Linked DNA regions of Mus musculus. The protein of the gene in region 5 interacts with the protein of the main gene of each other region in a biochemical or structural test. Links are inferred from orthologs where the notes say so. Each region holds a gene or a part of one and is shown on either strand. Other genes may lie near its edges.

Region 1 (3,954 bases), about 4.2 Mb from region 5:
TTTTAAAGACCTAAGGGGATACGATACAAGGTTTCTATTTCTGCACCCTGTCCTGTGTGCACCCCTCTAAGAAAACCAGAACAACTCCTAGGCATGAAATCCCCTCTTGATATTTTACCCAACCACAGCCATAGCATAGAACAAGGATTAGGCTAAGAACTCTGGTAGAAGATGCCTAAGACCAGGCTTCCACTTGGCAACTCAGTAGCCACAGAGCAGGTAACTCAACCCTGGAGCCTGTTTTCATCTGTAGCATAAACCTCTGTGAAGAGTGTTAGTCCACCACAGGCTGTAGTTACAACTCAAATGGGAAACTGAGGCAGTCAGGCTCTGATGCCCGAAAGTCTGGTCTAAGCTAGACCAGAGAGAACTGCCAGGCTGACCAGCAAGTGAACAGTCAAAAGAACTCAAGGAAGATCTCTGCTTGCCTGTGAGCTCCATGAGAACCAATAAGACGGCTGGGCGGGTGGAGGCATCGCAGACAAGCTGGAGGATGCTAAGTTGGAGGCAGAGACCCAACAAAGTAGGAGAGAATTGACTCCCGAAAGTTTTACTCTTATCTTCACATACATGCTTTACAAATGTACCCCACCCCAAAAAAATGTTAAACCAGGAAGCCTCAAGGACTTAACAGACTGCTCCCGAGTTGTTGCTCAGCCTCCCGTTCCTGAATGCTTGGTGTGTGCCCACCTGGTGTCCTCCACATTCTGTCACTGTGTTCCGACACTGCAGAGCCGGCCGGCCTGATCCTGTACACCTAACATCGGCAGGCAGACAGCAGGCCTCTGTAATGACAACTGAAAGGCCTCCTAGGAAGACGTGGCTAGAAGAGTGTAGGTTCTTGGTACCAGGAACTAAATTCCTTTCACAGCAGAGAACGCCTGCTGACTCCATTGCCGCTGGCCCCAAAGACACCCCTCACGCGCCCGCACAAGGGGGAACTTCCACCGGTTGCACAGGGTGTACAAAGGCCACGCTCAGCAAAGGCAGTGGGGTTAGCATTTGGCCTGCCTTCACTGCCGTTGCTCCGGTGGCTTCCAGGAAACACACTCTTCCTCCTGAGCCCCTCCTTGCTGTTGGCCCCATGACTCACACCCAGACTAGGCTGGCAGGAGGAAAACGCTCTCTGAAGGGTGACTCGGCAGAAAGGCAGCAGACTGTGACCAGGACCTGAGCCTACCACCCGGAGGATGCGCGCGGGGGTGCGGCCGGGGCGGGCCAGGGCAGGGCCTAGAGCCCTTTACAGCACACCGTCAGCCCCAGGATTGGCCGCTCCGGCCACAGGCCTATGGGGTGGTCCTTGCGCAGCCAATCAGTGGCCCCGGGGAGCCCATTCATTCATAAAACCGAGCAAGGAAAAGCCCCTCGTGGCCCGAGCTGCGTGGAACTTTGAAGTGCGCGCTCCCAGTGAGGCCCAGATTGGGGATCCGATCCATAGAGCTAAGAGGTGTGCAGGGGCTGCCGCGTCCACGCCCACAGTCTCGGGCTAGTAGCTTCAGCAAGCCGCGCTGGGCTCCACCCTAAGCAGGACACGCCTGCCACCCAGCTCCCGCCGACAGCTGAGCCACCCATCCCAGAACAAGGCCGCCAGCCTGGGGCAGGTGGCCCCATGACGGATGCAGCCACGTGCGCAGCGGAGCATGATCCCCCCCCCCCCCCGTTTCCCCTCCCCTGGTCGCCGCGACTCACGGCAGTCGTCCTCGTCGCTGTTGTCCGAGCAGTCGTTGTCCTCATCGCATCTCCACACCAAGGGAATGCAGCGCTCGTTCCGACACCGAAACTGGTCCTCTTCACACTCCTTGACTGGCCCTGCGGGGGTTGGGGGCGGTGAGCTGGGTCACTGCACAGGAGCCCGCTCCCCACCCTGCAGCCCTGGCTGCCGAGAAGTCCAGCGGGTATGGGAAAGGGGGAGATATCGGTGAGCTCTGGATCTCCAAGCACCTTAATTCCGAGAAAGGACAGGATGCCACGGGTCCTCCACTGCAGGACCGACTGATGGCACAGCGAGACCCGACAAGCGCTTAACGGCCCGTGGCTATACCCCGCCTTCAGACACATTCACCCTTACACACAACGCCAAGTCAGGTCCACACAAACCTAGTCTGCGGGAAGCCCCGCACACTGGCGACACGCACCCGGTGCAGGGGCTCAGTCCCTTCACAACCTGTCAGTCTCCTCGGCCCACAGGGGTCCCCGGAAACGCATTGTCAGAAAAGACTGTACCACTTCGCTCATCGCCGCTATGGAGCGCGCGTGTCAAATTAAACCAAACCCCAGACCCTGAAGGACTACCCCCCGCAAAGTTCACGGGCCGGGGGGGGGGTGCCCGGCGCCCATCCCCCATTAAGAGGGTGCCCGGAGCTGGGGTAGAGCTTCGGTAACCAAAACCGTGGGGGTAGCGGGGAGGAGGTCCAAGGCAAATCCAGGGAGCTAGGGTCCCCGGAGCCTCTCTATCGGGACCTCGCCGTACAGCAACCCCCACCGCCGGCCGCGCTTTGTTGGTTGGCGGCTGCGAGCCGGCCCGGGAAGCGCCGTACGCACCTTGGCCGCCCGGCAGCGGATCCGCTGCGGAGAGATGCTGAAGCTGCAGCAGCAGCAACAGCAACAGCGCCAGCGGCCGGAGCGCGCCCAGTTCTGGGCGGCCCATAGCGGGCCCGGGGCTCCGGCCGCCGCGCCCCGAGACCCCCGCGCCGCCGCCGCGCCTCAGCCCGCCAAGTCCTTGCCGCGGCGCCGGGGCTGCCGCTGCCGCCGCCGCCACCACCACCGCTGCCGCCCGCCCCGGCTCCCCGGCTGCATTTCAAGCAGGTTCGGTGACGCTCGGCGGCGGGGCGGGCTCAGGCTGGGCGCGCGGCCCCGGCCCTGGGCAGCCGCCGCCGGCGCGCGCGCTCCCTCCCGCCGCCGCCTCCGCCCCACGCTCCTCCCGCCGCCGCCTCTTCTCCTCCCCCGCCTGTCCTTGTCCCCTCCTCTCTCGGTCCGAGCCCCATGATCCTGCTCTGTGTGCGCGCAGGTGCTAAGAGCTGTAGACGCTAGGACGAGCCCGGCTAGGCTCTGGCCCCCCTGGTTTCCCCGTGGAGGTGGCAAGAGGGTGAGAGAAGGAGGCGTATGGAGGAGAGCCCGAGCTCGGGAGAAGGAGACTCACAAGCCGTTGCAGTGAACGCGCAGAGCGCGGGAAGGCTGAAAGCATTGCCAGGGAGAATCTAGGGGTGCTGGGCAAGACCTGTCATAGCTTCAGATTAGATGAGTCGCTTTCTGCGACCGTGTGCATCTGTGATTATCACTGTGTGATCCTGAGAGAGGTGAGTGTCTGGTGCACAGACTGTTATCCATATTCATCCTTCTCTGTTGGACCCCGCAGAGGAGCAGATCAAGGGCCCTGAAGACATGGCAAGGTAACCCTTGCTGCTGCAGAGAAGGGCAAGGACTGTGGAGGCCCAGATGTGTCATCCTTGCCGCCAGAGGCAGCACATCTAGTGTCTCTGGGCTCCACTAGCCTCTGCACAAAGAAGGCCCCTCCTCTAGCAGTGCGACCCCACCTCCCCTACTCTTCCTTGTCAGAAGGGCAACGCTTAGACTGGATTTCAGCCACCTGCCGGTGAGCCTGGCCCAGCAGCACAACAATCTCAGAGTGTGATTCTTGGGCACGGGTTGTAAACCAGGCCCGCGCGAGGGTGCCAAGGCCCAGTGTTAAATAGGCCCTCTCTCTTCAGAAAAAAAAAAAGGAAGAAAGAAAGAAAGAAAGAAAGAAAGAAAGAAAGAAAGAAAGAAAGAAAGAAAGAAAGAAAGAAAGAAAGAAAGAGAGAAAGAGAGAAAGAGAGAAAGAGAGAAAGAGAGAGAGAGAGAGAGAGAGAGAGAAAGAAAGAAAGAAAGAAAGAAAGAAAGAAAGAAAGAAAGAAAGAAAGAAAGGGAAAGAGAGAGAAAGCAAGCAAGCAATCGTGGAAGCTGTGATTCCTATGC
Region 2 (4,282 bases), on a different chromosome or scaffold from region 5:
GCAGAAAAATCAGTCTGCATGTTTTGGGACTTTGAACTTAGGACACTACTGTGGGTTCACTTATGGTCAACCAACTCCAAGTCTGCTGTAGTTCAGAAAGAACTGCCTCTCCCACTCTGGCTGCTTAGGTTTGTGCCTGGTTCTCTCTTCCACTTTTTACAGCACCACCATAGCCCACTTGCAGTAAAGGAGAAACAAAGGCTATCCCCACTTTCCTGATCCCAGCTCAACAACTTCTGGTGTTGGACTAGCTCCTTGAAGCAGTCTGGATGCTTTCCGACCACTCCGTAAAAAACAGCACCTGATGGAAAGTTAGCACTTTAAACATTCCAAGAATCCAAAAGGTTCTGCAGCTAAGGAGACTCCTTTCTCCCAACTCCCCGGATCACAGTCAGTAATGGATTTTATGCATTCGTGTTTTGAAATACTACAAAATATATAGCCCGAGTCAAGTCACTCTTCTGAGAGATGGTTTAATAAGTTAACATTACTCATCCATTAATGATTAATGTCAGCGTCTGAAATGTTCTGTTAAGCAGGGCTTCTCTGGGCACAGAGGTTTGTCACAGGAAGGATTCTAGCGTCACGATACCTGGGCCCTTTTCAGAGTGCAGCTGGAGAAAGCGCCAGAGGGAAAGGCCCCTCTGAGCCTGGCTGATCTTAAAGGTAACCCAGCTGGGGCAGCTCAATTAACTCCGCGTAGACACGTGACCAAGCTAAACGCAATCCAGCTACCAGCCAATCGCATGGGGCAGAAAAGCCCTGCCCAGCTTCTCACGCTCCGGACAGCGGAACCAAAGGCCCAGGGGCGCTGGGAGACTTAAACACCCCAGCATAGCTCGACAGACAGCTTGACCACACACTTGAAAGTTCGCTCTCACTCCAGGACACACGTGACCGCACGCAGGCGGGCCTTCTAAGCTACCCGGCGACAGGAGATGTGGATTGTGGACTATTTAGAGCTGGGACAGCGTTCTGCCCTAATTACCTAGAGCTGGTTGGCAAGCAAGCACTTTGGTGTCACCTCTTAAGACCTCTAAGACCTCTTCAGTGGCCCGCCAAGGATCAGACGCGGACCTTGTTAGGAAGGCATCTTATCACCTGCTCTGGAAAGTTGTGTGACCCAAGATGGGGTGCTGGAAACACACAGGGCTCCAAAGCCAGTGTGCCGACCCCCTGGGACTCGACAGTAGTCACCCCGCCCTCCCCAAGCTCCAGTCACACGCTCCAGCTCCACACCTTCGGGCCGTATTGTGCAGAATAAAGGCTAATTACAGTCACTACACTGGGACTCAGTTTCTCTGGGGGAAAGTGTTGCCCAGAATGAGGCTCGGCAAAGTAACCTGATTAAGTCTTGATCCCACTCCCCTCCCCCGTTCAGTTATCTCAGAGACCCCAGAGGTTTTTAAAAGCCGCAGTAGCTGCGGAATCCCCGGGGATGGGAGAAAGAAAAGCACTCGGAGGACAGTCCAGTTGAAAGCCACTCTTGGAGCCCGAGAGACGGCCCGGCGCCTGGGGAGTCTCAGTCCCGGGCGCAGGCTGCGTACTTGTCATGGCTCGGCCTCCAGGCTGCCGCCCACCGAACGTGCGCTTGCTCACGGCAGCGCGAGGACTCCCGGCTCGGCCGGCACCTGGCGCCCGGTGTCCTCGGAGACGCCCACCTTCACCCACTGTGCGCTCTCAACCCTGCTTAAGTCTGAGGGGCGCACTCGGGCTTCCAGGCCCCGTGCTCTGCCACGGTCCTAACAGCCCGCCTGGCAGAGGAGGCAGAACCATTGTTCAGTGGCTCCAAAGCCCACATCCCCTAGCCCTTGTCAATGGGGGGTGAAAACCATGTAAAACAGAGGTTCTGGGAAGAAGGGGGACACAGAAGAATGACAACAAGTTCAAGGGACGCTTTAGGACACCCTAAACCCCACCGTCCCCCGGGCCTGGCTCCCAGTAACCTCGGCTCTGACAGCTCAGAGGCGCCACCCGGGTGGGGAGGGGAGGCAGGAGAGGAGCGTGGAGAGGCGCCTGCTAGGAGGGGATGGGCAAGAGGAGCCCCGGGGTCCCCCAGAACGCGGCGATCGCGGACGCCTCGGCTTGTTTCGGGCCGAGTGCGGAGGGGCGCGTCCCCACTCACCGCTTGCAGTGGCGCCGCTGTCCCGGGGCGCCCAGCACAGCGCGAGCAGCAGCCACAGCGCCCAGCGCGCGGACGTGCCCATGCTGCCCGCCCGGATGGTGCCTCCGTCGCGCCGTCGTTGTCGCCGTTCGCTCCGCACAACAAGTTACCAGCCCTTCGGAGAGGAAGAAGGAGGTGGGGGCGGGGAGGGAGGAGACGAGGAGGAGGGGGAAGGAGTGAAGAGCCGGGAGCACGGAGAGCACGCAAGGAGCGGGCACCCTTTCCCTGCAACTTGCACACTCTACTCCCCGCCAGCCACCCACCCAACCACCCACCCGGTCACCTCCCCCGCCGCGGCCGCGGTGTGCGCGCGGACCCTGCGGGCGGAAAATAATGCAGGCGTTGCAGAGAAGGGGAGGGAGAGGGGAGGGAACGGCGCGGGAGGAGGGGGCGGGGAGCCCGTTCGCCACCGAGGACAGCTCAAGTGAGCGGTTTGGGGGCAACCACCCGGGCGGCCGCAGGAGCGCGGCCGAGCGGCGCGGGGACCCCAGCGGGGGAGCTCAGCCCAGCAGCTCAGGCACGCACCGCTCTCCCGCGCGCAGTGAGGAGGGTGCGGGGGCAAGTGGCAGCGTGCGTGCGTGAGTGGCTGGGGCTGGGGCTGTCGCCGCCGCCATCCGGATGGCTCCAGGGGCTCGACTGCTCCGCGCGTTGGCCCGGGGCTCACGGGGGACCCGGGGCGGCCGCTGGTTGGCTCGCGCACCGTCCTCACCTCCAATCCCGGGTGCCTGTCCTAATTTCCTGATCCAGGGAACCTGCGGCCGCAGCAGCTGTGCGCTCCCTAGCTCCCTACAGTTGCTACTGTACCCTCCTGGCGCCTTGGCTAGGAGCGCTGATGCAACTATTGCTGCTCTTGCCACCGCCTCCAGGCTTGATGGGGCTGGCAGTTGAGGGGTCTGGGGGGCAGCAAGGAACCCTTTTCCTCCCTCTCCTGAGCCCCTAGGAAGGGCTGATGTAGTGAGGTCGGTAGGTAGCATCTTCCGGGGGACTCTTCTTTCCAACCTGAAAGTGATGAAGAGGAGGGGTGCGAAAGCTCCGCTGTTCTGCTGTGGGGTTCGGAGTCCCATCTCAATGGCAAGCTGAGATGCCATTTTGTTAAAAATTAAATGTGGCTTTAAGTAAGAGTGTGTGAAAGAGAAAGAGAGAAAGAACAAGAGCGCTCCCGCGGTTGTGGCTTGTCCTCTGTAATAGAACAAGACTAAAATAACCGAGTCTGGGATGGGGAGGAGGGAAATTGCCAGCGCAGCTCTGCATTCTCTCATCAACGATTAGAGTTAATTGCTAATTGCACAAAATGATAGTTTGAGGGCCTGTAATTAAAAGCTTAACCTTTTTCTGGTTGGAGGAAGGGGACCCCGGTAGATTTATTCTTGGTATAGTTTGTAACGTTCAATTATAAGCATTGTGGAGGGAAAGAAGTCAACCCTCCCAGAGAGGATAGATTGGAGGGAGGTGGGTGCCAGACAGGACCTAAGTTTATGGTTTGTTCTTAGTGTACTTCAGTTTTCTTGAACACATCGCCTTGGTTGAGATGCTTTCTGTGGTATACCACAGATTTTTCCAAATTATTTCACCTGTTAATATGTGTGTATGTGCTTCTGTTTTATAAGTTGCTGTACCTCGAATGAATCAAAGTTGACAGATTTCAGATTCCATGTCCTAGCTTCCTTCTGGCATTGTAATGTCACCTTGGTTCTCTTGAGCAGTTCTCTGGGGACAGTCTACTAGGAGAGATGTTCTCATGTACCCAGGAGACCCTGGGGGTAATTCTCAGCCAGGGTACATTTTGATCGGTGTAATTTAGCCTCATTGTGATGGATAATCTCACATGCAGATGGGGTCTTTCAAAGCTGCTCACTGTGGATGCTGTTGTGTATAATCAGAGGGTAGGAGATGGGCGGAAACTGCATGGTGAACACGTGATCACAGCCAGTACCAGTCCACAGACCAAGTTTGAGGGGGATGGTCTAACTTTCGTATCCCTGGGGCTTGAAAAGCTCATAGTCACTTTACACCTGATGAAATGGGTGGGGGACATAGGTGAAGTCAATAAATAGTCAATATGAACAGGCTCCATAGTTAACTGAGACGTCACAAGCTTGTTTTCAATGTTTTACTTGA
Region 3 (3,511 bases), on a different chromosome or scaffold from region 5:
GAGTCTTGTCTACTGCTCCAACACTAGGTCTATGCCTGGCTTGCAGTATATGCTTAATAAGGGTTTGTTGCAGTACCAACAAATGGCTGAATTAAAAGATTAAACTGGGCCACACAGTGGGCTGGGGAAGGCAGGGAGGGTGGAGGCACCAGGATGAAGGGGCTCACTCACCCCCAGTGCCACAGGCTTCCTCGTCACTGCCGTCCATACAGTCAGCATCCGCGTCACAGCGCCAGCGCAGGGGGATGCAGTGGCCACTCTTGCACTGGAACTGGTCCATATCACAGCGGGGGGTGCAGTCTTTCTGTGGGCATGGGGACCAGCAGCCCAATCAGACCCTTGGGGTCCTGCCCTAATTCTTCCGAGACCACCCCTTTCCTCGAGCTCTCCTCACCTCGTCTGAGCCGTCGGCACAGTCATGGTCCCCATCACACTTCCAGCGCCCAGCGATGCAGCGGCCATTGGCACAGGAAAACTCACTCTCAGAGCAGGGCCGAGGTGCTGAGGAGAGACAGGTCCCAGCAGGGTGGGCACAGGGCATCTCCAGCCCTCAGAAATACTAACTCCCAAGCACAAGGCTCATCCCTACGTCCGTCTGTGAAGAGGCCACAGCCGACTGGTGTAATGATTGAGACACTCAACCAATGGCGGACAGTGTTTAACTGGCTGTCCTCACGAGACTGGCTGGGTCAGGAGGGTACTCACACTTATCCTATTAGGTACAGACACATGGGAGAGGGCACGGGTCCCTGGTCCTGTCCTTAGGACAGATCACTTAGGGGAGGGAGGGGAGAACAAGACCACCGAGACAAGCGCCAGGTCTGGGGAAGAGGCCAGTTAAGGACGGTGGGCAGAAAAGCACAGCACAGGGATGGGCGGGGCTCCAGGCAGAGGCAGAGCTGGCAGGAACAGGGGTACACCAGAGACACCTACCTCTGCAACCCCAAGAGGACAGTGTGAAAATGGAGAGAAACATGAGATGAGATGAAATGTCACAAGCTCAAGTACAAGGACATAGAGTAGGGTAGAGCGCGGCTGAGGGGTGCCTGACCCCTTGCCCTTGGAGGCCACCCTCTTGCGCGGGGTGGGGGTTAGAAGGGGTGAGGTGCTGAGGAGGGAGATGCCAAGGCCTGGGAAAGGAAATGATGGGGCAGGGTAAGGCGTAGGACATACTGCAGCTCTCCTCGTCCGAGTTATCTCCGCAGTCGTTGTCGTAGTCACATTGCCAACGGCCTGGGACACAGCGGTTGTTTTTGCAGCGGAACTGGTATGGCTCACAGGTGCGCTCATCTGGGGGAGGCAAGATGTGGAGGCAGATATTGGGGCGGTCAGGGGTGGAGTGGGCGGCAGATGTTAGAGTCTAGGGTAGACAAGTGAGACCGGCGGCAGAGAGAAGGTGGTTATTGCCCCCCGAAAGAGATTGCTCTGGGGCTCAGGCAGTGATAATTGCCGTGTGGTATCTACAGGAGGTTCTGGGGAAGGCCAGCAAAGTGTTTGGGGAAGGCAGCTGATTTGGGGGGGTGGGACAGGTGAACAGGAGGGTAGAGATTCTGCACAGTTCTCTTCTGAGGGGCAGAGAGGGAGAGGAGCAGGATTCAGAGGTGGTGGGCACTGCAGGGGAAGCTTCCTTCCCGTGTCAGCTCTATGGGGTCCACAAGAGCCCCACGCTGGGTCACGTCGAGGCTCCGCCCAGAGAGGTCAACCACTGAACTTCTTTCTACCCAGAACCCCAAACACCCATCCTCTCAAGATGGCTGGGCTTACCACACTCTTCCTTGGGCTCATCTGAACCATCCCCACAGTCATCTTCTCCGTCACACTTCCAGCGCGCGGGGATGCAGCGGCCAGAATCCTTGCAGCGGAACTCATCCACTCCACAGGTCATTTGGGCTGCAAGGCATCGGCATGGGTGAGGAGGAGTCGTCCCCACCAGAGAGCCACTGGGCAAGGGTACGGCAGCCGAGGGAGGGGTCTGTCTGCCTGGGTAATGGAGCCACAGAGGCCGTGAGGAAGGATGGCCCAGGGGCGACGGACAACTCACTACAGTTGGCAGGCTCATCACTGCCGTCCACACAGTCATTATCCCTGTCACAGACCCAGACGCGAGGGATGCAGCGCTTGGTGATGGAGCACTGGAACTGGTTGGGGGCGCAGGTCACCTCAGCTGCAAGATGGAACAGAGAACGAGGACCTTACCCTTTATCTCCTCACAGCTTTGGTCCCCCACGCGCTCCCCAGAAAGCCTGGCCCTGGTCTCAGTCAGGAAGGAATAGATTATCCCCAGCCTGGATCTGCAGACTGTCCATACCGAGCACAGTGTTTTTACGAGCAAACCAGGAAATGTCCAATGTGACTGATGTCCCCCGCTAATAGAGCTAACTCAGCGCCTCTATGGGAAGCAGTGGGCAACAACGGTGTGTGCCAGCTACGTCCCCCACCCACTTCCCAGAACCTGGCACATACGGCAATCCCGCTCATCCTCGCCGTCCCCGCAGTTGTCCTGCCCATTGCAACGGAAGATGCCAGGAATGCAGCGGTTGGTGTTGGTGCACTTGAATTGGCTGGGCAAGCAGACGTGAATGTCTGGGAGAGGGAGAAGGAGAGGGAGAGGGAGAGGGAGAAGGAGGGAACTCAGGGCGGGCAGGCAGGTGCCTCCCTGTCCCTTGTAGAGGATGGGTGGACTGCGGTCCTAAGCCCAGAAATGTAGCCTAGAGAGAAAGCTGCTGCAGGCTGGCACATCCTCACTCTCTGAACCCCCAAGTGCTGCGGAAGGAATGGTTGGTATCTAGGCAGCTCCTTACCGCAATTGGCCTCATCACTATTGTCTTGGCAGTCATTGTCCCCATCACAGATGAAGGCAGGGTTGGTGCAGATGCCGGTGGAGCACTGGAACTGGCCTGGGCGGCACTTGAACTCGGCTGCCGAGAAAGGAGACTCAGTGTTAGGAGTAGGAGATGGGTTCAGCAAGATGGCCTGGTGGGTGTTGCCACCTAAGCCTGATCCTCAGAACCCAGTGAGGAAAGAGAAAGCCAATTTCTGAGAGTTTTCCCCGGACTGTCATACATTTCACCACAGCATGTGCATGCCTGCACTGGCAAATGCACACTGCACACATGCAGGCACTCAGGCACACACACACACACACACACACACACACACATACACATACATGCAGGCACACACAGACACGCACTCACATGGGCACACACGGCACACACATACACATGCACACACAGATATACACATACACACAGACACACATTCACACAGACATACGTGCACACACACATGCACACGTAGGCACATCCACAAAAGCACATACATGCACACACACATGCAGGTACACACATGTACACAGACACACAGACACATAGGCACACACACAAATGCAGGCACACACATGCACACAGACACACACACACATAGATATACACACATGCATGCACGCACACACTAAAAAAGAAAGAGCAGGGAGCAAATAGGCCACTGAGGTCTCCATCCCTTGGGGGCG
Region 4 (3,975 bases), on a different chromosome or scaffold from region 5:
CAGCCAAAAAGAATTCCAAGCATAGGAACAGAAGACCACCTTGAAATAAATACAACAGCAAACAAGGTTGCAGAGACCAGAGTTAGAAAAAAACAAAAACAAATGTAGCCTGTGTATTACAGGTCCCACTCAAGATACAATCATCACAAAAGGCATAACCAAATTGGTATTGGATTAAAGAATTTAAGTGGGGGACAGATTCTTAAAAAATGAAAAGGAAAGAAAAAAATCACTTCAAAATGCATTTATCAAAATGATTTATCAGGAAAATGCTCGACGCCAAGCCTGACCACTTGAACTGCATTCTGGGATCCACACTACTTTCCACATGTTTATGATATGTGCACTCGCGTGCACGCTTACACACACATGAATAAAGGCAAAATTACATTTTGTGTGTGTGTTTGGAAAAGAAATGAGACCAGAAGATCACAAACAGCCTGAGTCATAACTTCAGGCCAGCCTGGGCTAAACATGGAAACACTGGTTCATTTTAAAAAAAATTAATTACAATAATCAAATAGCAAAACTAAAAATGGTGACACTTGGGCTCTAGTTTGTTACCCAGAATGCCAGGGCGGGCGATGCATGCCATCAATCCCAGCACTCAGGAGGCAGAGGCAGGCAGATCTGAGTTCCAGGCCAACCTAATCAACAGAGCAAGTTCCAGGACAGTCAGGACTACAGAGAAACCCTGTCTCAAATAAATAAATAAACAAACAAATAAACAAATTCCTGAAGAATATATACACATGTCATACACGTGTATGTGTGCATGTATGTATGCTTGTATGTGCTCTCAGCCATATGTTAGGTGATTATTGCATTATCCGCTAAAAACTTGAAAAATGCTTCCCACTTTTTCTCCGTAATTCACATGGATGAGAACTTGAGGAAATCTAGGTACACAGTATTTGGTGACACCAAAAAACAGGGAGAAGAATGCATGTTCCGGTGGTAAAGGGACATCAGCTCAAGAATGTAAGCAACCTTTCCCTCCAGACAGGAACAGAAAAGTACACTAAACCCTAGGGCTATATTTAGCGCATGATATATAACCCTAAGCACTCTCCCTACCGCGGGCGCACACACAATATAACAGTAAGTCTCCTTTCTGCGTTTCCAATACTGTAGAAAGGTGTTCAAAGGAAGAACTGTTAGACATCTTCTCTTGCCGCCCACCCCTCCTTTTCGAAAGATTTTTGCAAAGCCTGGTGGATTTGTTGGCGCTCCCAAACTTCCCAGGAAGTCTGAGATGGGTGCTGCCTGGAGCTGCTGTATAATTACTTACTTGATTCCCTCTAAGGAGCTTACGCTAAGAATTGAGGAAAGAAAGCAGATTAACCATTTGAATACATGCCACGGCCCATCCACAAGCCCTCCCCTCTCTCCTCTCTATAAATGGGGGCTTCCACAGTCCTCACCCATCAACCCCAATATGTGATCTAGGGAAATCAATTTATTGCTTTGACTAATCCTGCAACAATAGGGGTTTCATTTTTATTGTAGGGCAATTAAGTTGTCCGACGGGAAAGAGCGGGAGGGGAAGTGGGGACTGGCCCATCCCCACAGACAGATTAGTCCCTGCAGAGGCTGCAGCGTCCGTTCTGTCTGTCTGGTGGTCGGTCACACGCAGCACCAGGCTGCTACCTAGCAACGAAAGCCAGGGAGAGAGCTCGTGGGTTCTCCTTGAGTCAGTCTCTCTCTCTCTCTCTCTCTCTCTCTCTCTCTCTCTCTCTCTCTCTCTCCCTCCCTCCCTCCCTCCCTCCCTCCCTCCTTCCTCACTTTGCTTTCCCGTTTTCTCCATTCCTTTCAACTTGTCTCTCATTTTCTTCTCTTATAGTTTTCTATTCTAAATAATTTCCTCCCTTTCCTCTCTCTCCCTGTTTCACGGGGAAGGAAAAAAAAAAAACCTCCCGGACAACTTGAAAAAGTTTGTAGTCACTTTAGAAACTTTCTGCATTCCAGTCCCCAAACTCAGGCGCAGCTAACCAGCTCCATTCATCAACACAAAAGCACCCGCTCTGGGTAGGAAAGGGAAAGCCTTCAAGAAAAGTACTCTAGTGTATCAGCCGCTTCCTCTGCCAATCCCACCTCCCCGCCTTATCTGGGCTCGTAAACGATCGGTATCATGAGATGCGGTCTCATGGGGGTCACCGCGGGACAGGGTTTCGCCACTGATGGAAGGAGGCTCTGGCCGGCGGCCCCTGGCGCACGGTGGGATCGGATCTCCCGCGCCGGCTGGACGCTGCAGGTGGAAAGCGGCGCTGGGAGCGGCGTGGAGGACCGCCCCGCCCCAGCCAGAAGAAAGCTGCAGACCCACGCGGGAGACCCTCGTACTCCAGGTTCCATCCTGGAAAGCCTTGAGGGTCAGGACTAATTCCCGTGGGAACAAAGGCACGATAGCCGTGGGACGAGCTGTCACCGAAACCGGTGCGTCCGCGTTCCCCAACCAGTACAAGAAGCGGCGCTGCAGTCATCTCTCCTGGGGTCACCGGAGCGCTCAGCCGGAGCAGCTCCGCAGCCGCCCACCCTCGTCCGGCTCAGCTCCGCAGCGACTATGGTGGCGTAGCGCGGGCAGGTGACCGCTTACCTTGGCCACTGACTGGCGCCAGGCAGGCAGCGATCGCCAGCAGCAGCATCCATGCCGCCGCCGCGGCCCCGCGCTCCATCGCGGAGACGGCCCCGGGCCTCGCCGTTCCTTCCCCGGGAGGTGGGCGCGCGTCGCAGCGGGCACAGGCAGGTTACTCCGCTCCGGAACAGGAGTCTTGCTCAGCAGCAGTCGCTGGCTCCTAGAGGCAGAAAGCCGGTCCCGGCGCCTGAGGCATCCCGTTTTCTACCCGCGCCAGTCCCCACCCTCCAGACAGTGCATAAAGCCCTCTAGACCAGACCGCCCCGGAACTAGCATGCGGGAATCCAGTGGGCCAGGCCCCCTACTGCCCGGCCCGCCCCCTGCACTTTGCGACTCTGGGAGGAGTGGGCCCTCGGACACTTGCGCGCTAGCACATGCACACTCCACAAGCGCGCTCGCTCGTGCATGCTCTCACCCAGGAGCACAGGCTCCGGGAACACAAAACTGCCTCCCACGCTGGCGAGCGCCCACCCCTCGCTCGCACGAGCACACACACTCCAAGGTCCTATTCAATCACTGACAATAATCGCCGCTGCTCACATTCGGAGCAAGGGCTTGGCCTCGCCACTCAGAGGGATGGCTAGACGGGGCGAGGAAGAAATTGGCCACGGACACAAACTCTAAAACGTTATCACCGGTGGGAAGGAATGGAGAAAGGGGGGAAGTCAAGAGCAGCGACTAAAAAAAGAAAGAAAGAAAGAAAGAAAGAAAGAGAAAAGATGAAAAGGGAAAGAAAAAGAACAAATGGGGAAAGGGGAGCAAGGAAAGGGGAAGAGAAAGAAGGGGGAAGAAAAGAAAAGGCAGAGGGTGTTTTAGTGCGGGTCTTTCATCTCAACACTCGGGAGACAGAGACAAGTGGATCTCTGTGAGTTTGAGGCCAACCTGGTCCACACAGTTCCAGGACAGCCTGGGCTATGTAGAAAGAACCTGTCTCAAAAAGAAGGGAAGAGGGAGGGAGGGAGGGAGGGAGGGAGGGAGGGAGGGAGGGAGGGAGGGAGGGAGGGAGGGAGGGAGGACCAGAAAAAAGCTGGACAGAGCCAAGCCGCCTGACCTCCTTGCCTCGGTGTGAACTCGCTAAGCTGCCTCGGGGCCCTCCTCCCCCTGACAGGGTGCAGGCTACCCAGATGGGGTAGCTTGTGTTTTTATAGTCAGAGAGGAGATTCTATCATTGCTCTGGAGGCCATAACTATCTGGCTCCCCAAGCGTCAGGTGTCAGTCATGCCAGACAGCGTCTCCTACAGTTCTGTTCATTTCGAAACAAAACTTGGGGGAGGGGTTGTTTTCTCCGCAATGCCAATAATGAGAGAAACACCAGGAATTCGGGAGAACTCTATGGTTCCCCT
Region 5 (4,000 bases):
GACAGGACAAGACTTGCTTCATACAAGCACTGTTGTCTTGGTGCTAATGTTACTGTTTTCTGTTCCTGTCCCCAAATCCCCTTCTCCCGACTTCTCTCCCCACCTCTTTCCCACTCTCTGGCATATCTGAAATCTTGAGCTTCCTCTGTCTCTTCTCACCAATGCCATGCCACCCCCACCCCTTTGCATCTTTCTTTCCCTCTCTCCTCTTTCTCTTCCCATATCTCTTCCTACTATTAAAGAAAAAAAAAGTCAATTTTAGAAAAAAGAGCAAGGTCTTGGCTAGTACCAGAATCTACAACAAATATCATGACTGCAAAGCAACTGGCTGAGTCCAACTTCTAGGGGGAAAAAATCTCGACAAACTGCAAGTGCTGAAGGGTAGCCACTATGGCCAGCAGTTGCCCCTGGATACCAGTATCACTAGGCACTCTTCTAGCTGACCAATTCCTATTTGCTAAGTCGCCCCAGCCAGCCCCAGCCAGCCCCAGCCAGCCCCAGCCAGCCCCAGCCTACCCTCTCTCTCTGCACTCAGAAGGAGGTAGCCCTGCTGTCACAGTGTACTGGCCAGCTACTCCTCCCATCCAGCACAGCAATGGGGGTGTGGGGAGGGGGGCAGCCATAAAATTCAGAACCAGCTACTGTCAGCACTGCAGGCGCTGTGAGACCACTGGGTCCAGCCCTCATCACATCACCGCTAGAGAAGGGAGCCCTGACATCGAACGCCAAAGGGATCCATTACTCGAAACCTCAAACATAGGACCTGTTGCAAAATCTTGTCTATCTGAGGACGCACCTCCAGGTTTTTGCCTTCTGAATAGGATTCTACTACCTTATAAGCAGGTGCCTAAACAGACAGAAGCAGCTTAAGCTCGACACATAAAGGGGTTAAAAAGCACGTTGCCTTTGGAATCCACTGCATGCACCCTGCAAAGGAGCTGTTGATCATGGAAGTGTATAGAAGAGGAGCCTGCGGCGGTGGAGGGCTCTAAGCTCTGAAGACCTTTTTAATATGGCTGTATTGTAATACTGCAGTGCCAAACCCCACCAGTGGTTCCAAAAAAGAAAGGGGGAAAAAAAAGCCTCACTATGCAGCAGAACTTCCCAGCCCTGGAAACAGATTGTCTCCCTTTTGCTCCCATTTAATAACGGTTTTATTTAACACAATCGGGGGAGATATGTGTTCTGCTAAGCAGTGTACAGAAAGCTCTGTCTGCAATGATGCGATTCTTTCTACATGAAACTAAGAGGCAGTCCCCTAAACTCAGCCTCCCGAAGCTCAGCAAAGCCACTACGAGGTGATGCGATTCGCAGAGGGAGCCGCTTGGAAGGGTGTGTGTGTGTGTGTGTGTGTGTGTGTGTGTGTGTGTGTGTTAGGGGGTCAGGCATGCAAGGGGACACACCTTTCCTTCAAGCCGTTGGATACACCATGTTGCCTGAAAAGTCTACCCAGACTAGTCTGTCAAGGGTTAATTTTCTCAGCAAAAACTGAAGCAAGCGCGCACGCACACAGACACACACACACAAACCACACCACACCACACACACACACACACACACACACACACACACTCCTCCGTTGACTCCCACCACCTTGGTGGGTGGTCACCATCCTCTTAATTTTAAATTCCAGAACGCAACCGCCCCCCCCTCCGCCCCCGCCCCAGTACTATTATTTGGGAACAGCCCCCGTACCTGGGCTCGATTCCCACCTCATCACCGGTGGAAGCTGAGAGCCCGACATAATTATTTTCCTACAAGGTTATGCCTAATTGACCACTAACCTAATTGATTAATCATTTCATTTTTCAAAGCAGCATCCAAGAGTCAATCTAGCGAGGAGATAGAGAAACATGTACGCAATGGTCCAAGGGATACAGACCTAGGGAAAGACCCCAGGCCAGCTAAAACCTAAGAGGCTAGAAATGAAAACGCGACAGAAGCAGAGAATTGCGCACGGCCACAGGAGGATCAAACCAGGAGCCTCAAAGCGGCCAGGGTCCAGCAGGCTCCAACACGGATGAAGTTGTTTTCCCCCGGGGACCAAAGGGTTAAAACGACGCCGCTCCAACCCAGTCTCCTCTATGCTGGAGGGGAGCAGAATCCACCTGTCCCCTTCTTAGGCAAACCCCGCTGGTTGTCCTGAGGGTCGCCCTAGCTCTCTGGCCACAACTTGCCCCTCTGTGCGCGGCCCTTGCCTGCGCCTTTGCGCGCTACCCAAAACTTTGCGCACACTGCGGCCGCCGCCTGGCCGTTCAGCGCGGCGAAACGCGCCACCAAGTCCAAGAGCTGCGGACAGCCCTTCTGCAGCCACCACCGCTTGGCTTTGGGCTTCAGACTTTTCTTTCCTCCGCCTCCAGTCCCCATGCAGGGGCTCCCTCGTGGCTGCGGGAACGCGACTCTCGGCCCGCAGTGGGCATTGCGGCCGCGGCGCTGCAGACCACCACCCTGCAGGGTCCATGAGGCGCCCACCCGACGGCTGGACGACTGAAGCCATCCTTGCCCTGGCGCGCCCACCCTAGCTTTCCACGCCGCGGCCGCCAGGCGCAACACCCTCTCCTACCTTCCAGCCGCTGAAGACCACACTCTGCTCAGCCCTCTCGACACATCATCCTCTGGCTGCAGAACAGGGCGACCGGACTCTGCTTTTGTTCCCTGGGGCGGGGAGGTCCGTGCGGGGCCAGGGAGCGGGAGATGCAACGGAGCTGGGTATCTGGAAGAAGGGAGGCTCACTCCCGGCAGCTCTAGTGGCGGCAGTAGTGGCGGCAGCAAAGGCAGCGGTGGCAGCAGCAGCAGCAGTAGAGATAGTGCCGGCTCTCTGCAGGCCACATCTTTCATACCTTATACATCACTACCGCATTCCCCCGAATAGGAGAGCCCATCAGCATTTCGCCACCTAACTAAGGATACGAGCGCCGGCAAGAGTGGCTTGGCTGCACCTGGCCACAGTGTGGGCTCTGCTCAGGAAAGGACCCTCAGCACCCAATTGCCACTCCCTCCTAAATCACCACAGCATCGTCTATAACCATCACTGGTCTCCCCGCAGCGCTCTCCTTAGGCTCTCTGCTCCCTAGAATGTCTGAGCTTTAGGGCAAGCAACAGAGGTTTATTATGGAAACTCATTTCCAACTGCCACTTCCCAGGGAAGGTCTTTGCACGGGAGGTTACTGCTACAGAGGCACCCTCCTGATTGCACGTGGTTTCTAGATGCCGCCTTGGGAGCAGGCTTGTGGGCACTGAGAGAGGCAGCCCGCACCAGAGGATTGGGTCCCTGTTGCTTCATCAATAAAATGGGAATCAGATGAGCTTTTCTGTGAGGTTGTGGTGAGAATATAATGAGATAAACAGAGTGGAACTCCCTAAACAAAGCTTAATTTCTTCCTTCTTCCAATGCAAGCCTGCCTTCCCTCAACAACTGTCAGCAACAACCCAGTAAATATTTGCCGTGAGCGTACCTCGGTTCTATGCCAATCCCTATTTTATAGAGTAGAGTACAGCTTGGCTTGGACTTTTCTCTCCAGTGAAGACACAGAAAATAAGTAAATCAAGAAGAGTTGTTGAGTGGTATTGATCACCAAGATTGAAATAGATGGTGGCATGCAATGTGAAGTGACTGGAGATGCTACTTAGCTTGCTTTTGTCAACTTGACACGAAACTTGAGTCACCTGGGAAGAGAGACCCTCAGACTGAGATGTTGCTTCCATTATATGGGCCTGTGGGCGTGTCTTCCGGCCACATTCTTGATTGAGGGTTAATGTGGGAGAGGCCAGCCTTCTGTGAGTGGAGCTACTTCTGGGCAGGTGTCTTGGGTTGTCTAAGAAGTAAGCTGAACAAGCCATGGAGAGCAAGCAGGTAAGCAGAGTCCCTTTATGGTCTGTGCTTCCATTCCTACTCCAGGTCCCTGCTCTGACTTCCCTCAATGATGGACTGAAACCTATAAGATGAAGTAACACCACTAAGTTGGCTTTGGTCAGTGTTTTATCACAATAACAACAACCG

The links.
Region 1: the proteins of Dab1 (region 5) and Lrp8 form a complex in vitro, tested with the Homo sapiens proteins (2 studies listed by BioGRID). The link is inferred for Mus musculus from reciprocal best matches to the Homo sapiens genes DAB1 and LRP8.
Region 2: the proteins of Dab1 (region 5) and Vldlr form a complex in vitro, tested with the Homo sapiens proteins (2 studies listed by BioGRID). The link is inferred for Mus musculus from reciprocal best matches to the Homo sapiens genes DAB1 and VLDLR.
Region 3: the proteins of Dab1 (region 5) and Lrp1 form a complex in vitro, tested with the Homo sapiens proteins (2 studies listed by BioGRID). The link is inferred for Mus musculus from reciprocal best matches to the Homo sapiens genes DAB1 and LRP1.
Region 4: the proteins of Dab1 (region 5) and Lrp2 form a complex in vitro, tested with the Homo sapiens proteins (2 studies listed by BioGRID). The link is inferred for Mus musculus from reciprocal best matches to the Homo sapiens genes DAB1 and LRP2.

What each region holds. Positions count from the first base shown.
Region 1 is NC_000070.6:107,801,106-107,805,059, reverse strand, and holds the start of Lrp8 (low-density lipoprotein receptor-related protein 8 isoform a precursor), read right to left. Parts: upstream 2,802-3,954; 5' UTR 2,648-2,801; coding exon 2,542-2,647; intron 2,176-2,541; exon of another isoform or gene 1,942-2,175; intron 1,810-1,941; coding exon 1,690-1,809; intron 1-1,689. UniProt on the Homo sapiens protein: Cell surface receptor for Reelin (RELN) and apolipoprotein E (apoE)-containing ligands. LRP8 participates in transmitting the extracellular Reelin signal to intracellular signaling processes, by binding to DAB1 on its cytoplasmic tail.
Region 2 is NC_000085.6:27,215,540-27,219,821, reverse strand, and holds the start of Vldlr (very low-density lipoprotein receptor isoform b precursor), read right to left. Parts: upstream 2,803-4,282; 5' UTR 2,208-2,802; coding exon 2,126-2,207; intron 1-2,125. UniProt on the Homo sapiens protein: Multifunctional cell surface receptor that binds VLDL and transports it into cells by endocytosis and therefore plays an important role in energy metabolism.
Region 3 is NC_000076.6:127,548,144-127,551,654, forward strand, and holds part of Lrp1 (prolow-density lipoprotein receptor-related protein 1 precursor), read right to left. Parts: intron 2,919-3,511; coding exon 2,802-2,918; intron 2,584-2,801; coding exon 2,464-2,583; intron 2,165-2,463; coding exon 2,042-2,164; intron 1,891-2,041; coding exon 1,765-1,890; intron 1,291-1,764; coding exon 1,174-1,290; intron 502-1,173; coding exon 395-501; intron 305-394; coding exon 172-304; intron 1-171. UniProt on the Homo sapiens protein: Endocytic receptor involved in endocytosis and in phagocytosis of apoptotic cells. Required for early embryonic development. Involved in cellular lipid homeostasis.
Region 4 is NC_000068.7:69,583,222-69,587,196, forward strand, and holds the start of Lrp2 (low-density lipoprotein receptor-related protein 2 precursor), read right to left. Parts: upstream 2,809-3,975; 5' UTR 2,673-2,808; coding exon 2,594-2,672; intron 1-2,593. UniProt on the Homo sapiens protein: Multiligand endocytic receptor. Acts together with CUBN to mediate endocytosis of high-density lipoproteins. Mediates receptor-mediated uptake of polybasic drugs such as aprotinin, aminoglycosides and polymyxin B.
Region 5 is NC_000070.6:103,618,309-103,622,308, reverse strand, and holds the start of Dab1 (disabled homolog 1), read right to left. Parts: upstream 2,810-4,000; 5' UTR 2,564-2,809; intron 1-2,563. UniProt on the Homo sapiens protein: Signaling adapter of the reelin-mediated signaling pathway, which regulates the migration and differentiation of postmitotic neurons during brain development.